Schizosaccharomyces pombe: one gene and its partner. The protein of the gene in region 2 purifies or fractionates together with the protein of the main gene of each other region. This does not show direct contact. Each region holds a gene or a part of one and is shown on either strand. Other genes may lie near its edges. The genes, in order: rpn7 and rpn3.

The links.
Region 1: the proteins of rpn3 (region 2) and rpn7 purify together in Schizosaccharomyces pombe (affinity purification with mass spectrometry, with the first as the bait; one study listed by BioGRID). This does not show direct contact.

What each region holds. Positions count from the first base shown.
Region 1 is NC_003423.3:429,893-433,710, reverse strand, and holds rpn7 (19S proteasome regulatory subunit Rpn7), read left to right. Parts: upstream 1-1,945; 5' UTR 1,946-1,966; coding exon 1,967-3,160; 3' UTR 3,161-3,318; downstream 3,319-3,818. Other genes in the region: alt1 (putative alanine aminotransferase), read right to left, coding at 1-507, 699-1,116; mcp6 (horsetail movement protein Hrs1/Mcp6), read left to right, coding at 3,545-3,818. UniProt on the Schizosaccharomyces pombe protein: Component of the 19S cap proteasome complex which acts as a regulatory subunit of the 26S proteasome, involved in the ATP-dependent degradation of ubiquitinated proteins.
Region 2 is NC_003423.3:710,360-714,851, reverse strand, and holds rpn3 (19S proteasome regulatory subunit Rpn3), read right to left. Parts: upstream 2,363-4,492; 5' UTR 2,341-2,362; coding exon 2,322-2,340; exon of another isoform or gene 2,276-2,321; coding exon 2,180-2,275; exon of another isoform or gene 2,136-2,179; coding exon 757-2,135; 3' UTR 700-756; downstream 1-699. Other genes in the region: UDP-glucose--glycoprotein glucosyltransferase Gpt1, read right to left, coding at 2,918-4,492. UniProt on the Schizosaccharomyces pombe protein: Acts as a regulatory subunit of the 26 proteasome which is involved in the ATP-dependent degradation of ubiquitinated proteins.

The DNA of each region.
Region 1 (3,818 bases), 280 kb from region 2:
CAGAATTTACGGAAATAAGCGAAACTTGGTCCCAATGATTGTCGGGTTCCTTTTCTCTTAATTCACCAAGTTTTCTCCTAAAAGAATGAAACTTGTTTTGGTAAATATTGTTTTGATAGACTTCGTCGGCAAGCAATACTATGCCCTTTGCCTTAGCAAAGCGCAAAACTTTTTCCATGCTATTTTCAGAAATGCAAGCTCCAGTAGGATTACCGGGATTAATAACCACGCATAAACGAACGTTGATACCTTTTTTAGATGCTTCATCAAATGATTTTTTAAATTGGTCAAAATCAATGTCCCAATTATTTTCCTCGGAGAGGCTGTAAGATACCATAGATCCACTCATGAGATCAATTTGGGCACCGTACAAAGGATATTGAGGAGCGGGAACCATTACACCATCTGTTGGCCTAGCGATTATCAAAGTCATTATAAGCCGGGCAGCGTGTGAGGCACCACTAGTCAAATATATGTCAGATGGCTCGCAATCAAATCCATCTCTCGCTAAAATATAATTAGAAAATGTGTAAAGATAAAAAGAAAAAAGAATGAATGGCGGAGTCTAAAATCATTTTTTATCGAGCAAGACCCTAGCAGCTTTAATGGGTTGCAGTATTTTTGCTAAATTTCTTAATACAGTCTGCGAATTGTCTCTGTGTCCGACGATCTTCACTCTTTCTTCTTAAAATGCTTACCTCTAATGAAATCCGCAACATGTCGCCTTACAAGCGGAATACCTTGAGAAGCACTATAGGCACCCAAACTTCCAGATTCCTTTAAGAGCATTTTGGATCGTTGTACGACATCCGTAGGGAACAAATTTTGAAACCACTTTTCCTCAGCATGGTCTAACAAGGTAGGGTACTGGCAAAGAGATAAAACCTGTCGAACGAATGTAATAGGAGACTGTCCCATCTGCTGAGGATTACCGATGTTTGCATAGACGATCTCACTGAAAGGATATGAAGAAGGATTTTCAAGTAAATCATCTTGGATCTCGTCCGCAAGAATGGCTAAAGCTCCACGGACGGCGTAATTTGCCTTAAATACTTGTTGATTCAAAGAATTAAGGTCTGAGAACGCATTTTGACAAAATCCATCAAGGTCCGACATTCTTGGAGACTCACAGTTAATATCATTTGGATAATCTGTAAACATAAATATAAAGTAGATAATCGTTATTTGATATTATGTACTTCACTCTTTCTACTGTATTTTATTTGGAGATACTTATCAACCGCTCACTGTATTCACTTATATTACATATACTAATTTTTTCACTAACTTAGCATAATGAACAGAGAAAAAATAGCTCCTAAAAAATACTCAGTGAATGACAACGTTTCCGTTATTTTTATATTTTTATTTTCCATTAACCGGATTATACAGGCTTAAATATGATATTCTAATAAACCATTTTTGTTTGTTTTATATATATTAAGTAAGCAATATTCAATGCGAAAAATTATTTGAATTCCTTTAGTAAGCCCCAACCTATGCTACATGTCGTGTAAACCAAAAAATTAGAACGATGTAAAAACAGAGGTATAGAAGAGATGCTTGCTTATTTGCTTAACTTTTTTGTCTTATAGAATTTGGTTAATTAAATTAATTTAACGATTTACAAGTTTCGAGAAGACTGATGGAATGTTCAAGCACTTGACTTTTCAGAATGGCATATTTCACAAAAAAGAATTGAAAAGAATAAAATTTACGAGTTTTAAGATTCGTTTCTAATAAAATTTAATTAAAACATGTTACTAGAACATAAGGAACAGTGGAAGTTGAAAAGTAGAAAAAGAACTTTTTCTCTTTAGTTGTTTGAATTAAATTTATATTTGAAATTTAAATAAACTACAAAAAATTAACATTTTACTAACTTTTAGATGAGTGAAATGTACAATATGTAGTTTAGTTAGCTGTTGATATGTGTTCTCCCTCTGCAACACTCACACACCGCACCATGACAGAAAAGGCAAGAACCGTATCAGATTTGACCATTTCGCAAGCGATTTTCGAGCTTTCCTCGCCATTCCTTGAGAATAAGAGCCAAAAGGCTTTGGATACGCTTTTTTCTGCCATTCGTGATCATGATTTAGCTCCACTTTATAAATATCTTTCAGAGAACCCTAAAACATCGGCAAGTATTGATTTTGATAGTAATTTTTTAAATAGTATGATAAAGAAAAATGAAGAAAAGTTAGCAGAGTTTGACAAAGCGATCGAAGATGCCCAAGAACTTAATGGAGAACATGAAATTTTAGAAGCCATGAAAAACAAAGCTGATTATTATACGAATATATGCGATAGAGAACGTGGTGTACAGTTATGCGATGAAACTTTTGAACGAGCAACATTGACCGGAATGAAGATTGATGTTCTTTTTTCCAAAATCCGTTTGGCATACGTGTATGCTGATATGAGGGTCGTTGGTCAATTATTGGAAAAATTAAAGCCACTTATTGAAAAGGGAGGTGATTGGGAGAGGAAAAATCGATTAAAGGCCTACCAAGGCATATATTTGATGTCAATCCGTAATTTTTCTGGTGCCGCCGACCTTCTCTTGGATTGTATGTCAACTTTCTCTTCCACCGAACTACTTCCATATTACGACGTCGTTCGATATGCCGTGATTTCTGGTGCAATTTCTTTAGATCGTGTTGATGTCAAGACCAAAATCGTTGATTCACCTGAAGTGCTTGCCGTGCTACCTCAAAATGAATCAATGTCTAGTTTGGAAGCATGTATCAACAGCTTGTACTTATGTGACTATTCCGGATTTTTTCGAACCTTGGCCGATGTTGAAGTTAATCATCTTAAATGTGATCAATTTCTTGTCGCCCATTATAGATACTATGTGCGTGAAATGAGAAGACGTGCTTACGCCCAGTTACTTGAATCTTACCGTGCTCTCAGTATCGATTCCATGGCCGCTTCCTTTGGCGTATCTGTTGATTATATCGATCGCGATTTGGCGTCATTTATCCCAGACAACAAGTTGAACTGTGTAATTGATCGAGTCAACGGTGTTGTATTTACAAACCGTCCTGATGAAAAAAACCGTCAATACCAAGAGGTTGTTAAGCAGGGTGATGTTTTACTTAACAAACTCCAAAAATACCAAGCCACTGTTATGCGTGGTGCCTTTAAGGTATAATTTAACTCAGTGCCTACGTTTAATGAAATATGGTTCAATGCATGTATCGTTTATCTATATTGTCTGGTTTAAACATTTGAAAAGTAATAATATGAAACGGTATTAAGTTTTGGTGCCATGAACATTATTTGTAAACGAAATGTAGAAATGATTAAAGCATACGAATCTTTATTCAACTATTATTAGGGACTAAATAGATAGTTGTGCAATTTTTGGTGGTGTTTACGTATATCTCAAATGTTTCTTCACTCGTAAATACAATGTTGTTTGATGAGCCTGCGACGCGTTCCATTTACCAACAACATTTCGTATGTTAGTGACACTAATTCGTAGCGAAAAGATTTGAAACAATACAAGGTTAAGAGATTAACAGATTGATTTAATATGGAATATCAAGAAGAGGCTTCTCTCGCCTCGGCTGAAGATTCGACTTTCATAGCTTCATCGCCTGTTCAAAGTGTTAGCGAGATGAAGTCTATTAAGCAGAAGAGTTTTCAGTATTTTGATGATTATGAAAAGAATGTCTCAGATAAAACAATTCAATTTCAGAAGCTACAAATGACTGCTAAAGAAATAATTGATGCTTTTGAGCGCGATTCTACTCAACGTACGCTACAAATCGAAAGTTTGGAAAGTAAGATAGGAGAGCAGGAACGGG
Region 2 (4,492 bases):
ATGCGCCGTAGCGACCACAGCAGAATACACCATTGCTCAAAATATCGACAAAATTGTTAAATTACTATAACGTAAAAAATGAGCTTGCCGTTCCACTTTAAATATATAGTGTTGATCATATCTACTAACTTAGCTAAAATTGACAAAGTGGTAATGGGAGAGACTAATGTATAGCTTTGGTTTTATAAAGTGTTACTTAAGTCACGTTAGAAAACTAGCTTATATCCACTGTGGTTATTATTTTCTGCCGGAAGCCATTTTATAGCATTGCTTTATTTGCTCTAGTTATGCATAACAAAAAATAAATTTGCACAAAAATTTTTTGCCCATTTCGCCATTTATAATTAAAAAGACTAAAGTATACCTTTGATTGGAACCATAATCCAAGATCAAATCTGTATTGCTTCACAGCATAACCATAAATGTGTTTGCATACGTGTATTATATACGAAATATAAAACAACAAATTTGAAAATAAAGCACACGACCATTCTCCAAACCCCTGTGTTTTTAGCGTATTACTCATTTATTACAATGTGCAAAGACCAAGTCTCAGTTTAAACAACAAACGCATTTGTAGCGTTGTAGCACCGATCGAAAACTGTTTTTCAACAACTTTCCTTCTGTTACAGCTTCGCAAACTCACTAAATATTTCAATCTGTAAACTACATATAGTTTTCATAGACATTAAAGAAACATACAACTGAACAACTTTGAAAGTATATTTTAAGATCTATAAACTTTCCATAAGTTTTTTAAAATTCGCCCAAATCAGGCTCATCGTCATCTAAATCTGCCTCAGCCATTTCTTTATCCATACGCCTACGTGCCTCTTCCACACCTTCGAGTTCACTTTTGTGAGCATCCATGGGATATCGCATACTTTTTATGCTGTCATTATGAAGGGCAAGACAAAACTGAATACGTTCATGAAAAGCTTGTTGAGGCTGCTCGGTGGAATAAATATCCATGGCTTCGTTACTAGCCATAAAGGCATTACTATGATCGATACTTGCATCAATAACTCCATCACGGATGCCCTTAGCAACAATGTACTCGGCACTCTCTTCACTGTCCAAACCAAGCTTTATACAAACATCACGAAGGGAAATACGGGAATAAGATAAGGAGATCATCCTCAATCCAGTCTTAATGACGGTATGGCGAAGGCGGCATATCAAAGTATACAATCCATCGAAGCGAAATTCAGCCTCATACTTGGAAAGCGCGTCAGTGAAAGCACAAAGGTCACCAATACGAACTGCCTGGCTAATACGTAAGTAAGGCACTAAAGTTTTTTCGAGAGATTTTTGGCGGAAAATGCGGCGTTCGGGAATTTCTCCCATAAGCAATTGTACGACGATGTGCAATTTGTAAACAGCTTCCAGAAATTGAACGGCATATACTGTGTTGGGAGCCTTACGTATAGCACTAACTAAATGTTCATGAGCGGTCGTGTAGTCAAGTTGAATGGCGCGAATTCGACCCAAATAGTATTGGTAGCGAATTGCCAAGTTATTACTAGCATTCGTAAGAAAGGATGTTTTCGAAACGAGACGGTCTGCTTGATCATATAGGTTAAACTGAATATAATTCCGAAGAAGTAATGTCAAAACCATAGCTTGAGTTTCAGAGTCGTGACGTAAAGATGCAGTACGATGAACGGACAAAAGAGTGTTCCTGCATTCTACAGACCTATTACATTTTTCAAAGAATAGTATGTAATAGAAATATAACTTGGCTGCAATTTGATCCAAGGTTCGTCGATCATAGGATTGCAAACGGGCGATTACCTTCTTAATATATTCAGCGCCTACCTCATATTTTTCATTATAATAAAGTGTCATGCTAAGAAGCAGTTGTAAGTACATATCCACTTCCGGAAAAATTGTGTTGCCATTTCCATTTGTAATAGAAGTGGAAGAATCATCACCATTTTGTGGCATATCAATAAGTTCCAATAATTCATTTTTTAAAGAATTATCAAAAGAATAATACTTCTTAATTAACTGGCCTAAAACATCCGCATTCAGTCTATGGCAAATGTTGGATGTGGTTCTTAATGATCGATAGACAAGTCTGGGATCTCTTTGTTTGGTGGCTTGCATTAAGGCAGCAATATTTGCTTCCACATCTGATCCTTGTTAGAAATAAATAAATTTTGACGCATTAACTCACCTTGCAAAACTGTTCTTGGAACTTCAGTTACAGTGTTCTGTTTTGTTTCACCAGAATCAACATTTTCTTCTTGGTTTACAGAATCAACCTGCATATCTTTTTAACGTTAATAAATACAAAAACTTTCCCATCAATAACAAACCTCTCTGATCATCAATCATATTGATACTGGTACTTGGTAGTGGTTACGTTCAGTGGAGGGCATATGCCTAAGCTTACGACTCACTGTGCTGTATACTTCCTCCCTATGATTATAAACACGAATATATTAAATGTTCTATTTAGTAAAGACTTTTGAATGCAATATTTATTACAGCATAATAGACGAATAATGTTTGAACAAAGTAGAAGATAGTATCGAATAGTTAAATAAATGAAAATACGCGTCTTCAACAAACATTCAATAAACGTAGCATTGCTCACGATTAGTTGTTTCTTAGCACCATAATCGTTGTATACAACTTGTAGAATGCACCAGCAAAATGGTCCTAACAAGATTGGAGGAAAAAATTAACTCATGACTAGCTCATTTCAAACGGACGACATATACTAATTTTGACCCCTTTTAATCCCTAAAGCCAATACTCTCAGTATTCAAGCAATTCATTAAAACATTTTGATTTTAACTCTTTTCTCTTCTAACTTATGCAAATTCGCAAGTAAATTAGAAAAACGATTATAAAATTTCAGGCGTACAATCACGAATTAAATAATATGAAAGCAAAAGAAAAGTATGTTTCAAAGTTCGTCCGGAGATGAGTTGTTATCCTTTTCTTCAAACTCTTTATCTGATTGACTAGAGGCGGTTTGCAATACGGATGCTATCTCATTATCGTATGAAGTCCATTCAGAGACTTGCCTACGTGCGCGATCCAGCTTCTTTTCTTTAGTTAAAGGATTTTGACATAAATCGATTGTTTTGGCAGTTTTCAAACTTTCATCACTGCACCATGTCTCACACCAAAGCCAATCTTGCGGAAGAGAGTATATAGGAATAAGGTGTTGAAGGTGATTTGGCAAATCTTGATCTAAATTAGACAGGGAGTTAGGATCGGCAGACAAAAGTTGGTATTGTCTGCGAAGTAAATCACCCGCACCCATCTTCCTGAAACGATCTAAGTCTACAACATATAATGCACTAATGTGATATTTTAATCCACGTAAGAATTTTTTCCAGTATCCTTTTTTCCAGAATCTAAAACCTTCCATCTCTTCGCGAGAATCACACATGGGTGTATACCCATATGGAGCACCATGTAAATCCATATCCATCAATTCCTGCAAGTCAGCACGCACAATTTGATCGGCATCAACATAGATAACCTTATGCAATTCTAAAGGGAATAAAACATCAAGGAACAATATTTTGTATCCCCATATCTCACGTTGCTTTTCTTCTTGTTTTCTCAGCCAGTGTGGCCAATTGTAAGTAATATACTCATACTCGAAATTATACTTTTTGGCAATGGCCGGAATAGAGCTTTTAAAAGAAGGGGACAAAAAGTTCTCAATAAACCAGAACTTGACTTTTTTATCCGTATGCTCAATTACACTCTTAGTCATGATGTATAAGAATCTTTCATACAAGTGTCCGCTGGCAACAGAAAAAATATTTATAGATGCTTCTTTACGTTTGAAATTAAAGAAGCTGAGAGACTTTTTTATTTTATCGAAAAATTTATGGGAGCTAAGGTCTTCATCCATAATGTCGGCAGACTCAAAACCAGGTTTACGTCGCATAACCGGATTTAAGGTGACACCTTCAAAACTGTCAACAATTACTTGAGGGTCTTTATAGGAATTTTTCTTATTTAGCGACAGTATTTCATAAAACTGAGAAGACCGCCCATCCATAGGTTCCAAAGTCCATACGCCTGGGTTCGCCTTCAATTGAAAATATCCTAAATTTGATAATACAATTGTATCAGTCACATGGGAATTAGTAAGGTTGCCTAGCTTTAATTGCATACCCCTCGGTGGGCTTTTCCTGAATTCTTCTTGAGAGTAACCTTGTACCAAAATGTTTTTAAGTTCATAGATTGCTGTATGTGAGTCCAAAGCCTCTGCTTCAGAAGTGTGCTCTAATTTTATGTTGAAAAGATCAATGTCCACATCTTTTTGCATAACTGTCCATGCGTCTCTAGCTTCAATGTCCATTGTAAGCAGTGTATCAGCCGGTAAGTTGTCAAATTCTACGTAAGACTCCTCTAAATGGCCAAGCGCATCAAACTCTGGCTCCGCAGAAATTGAATATCGATAAAACCTTGTTAATGGAAGCTCAGACAAAGTTTGTTTAGGATTGAAATGAATTCG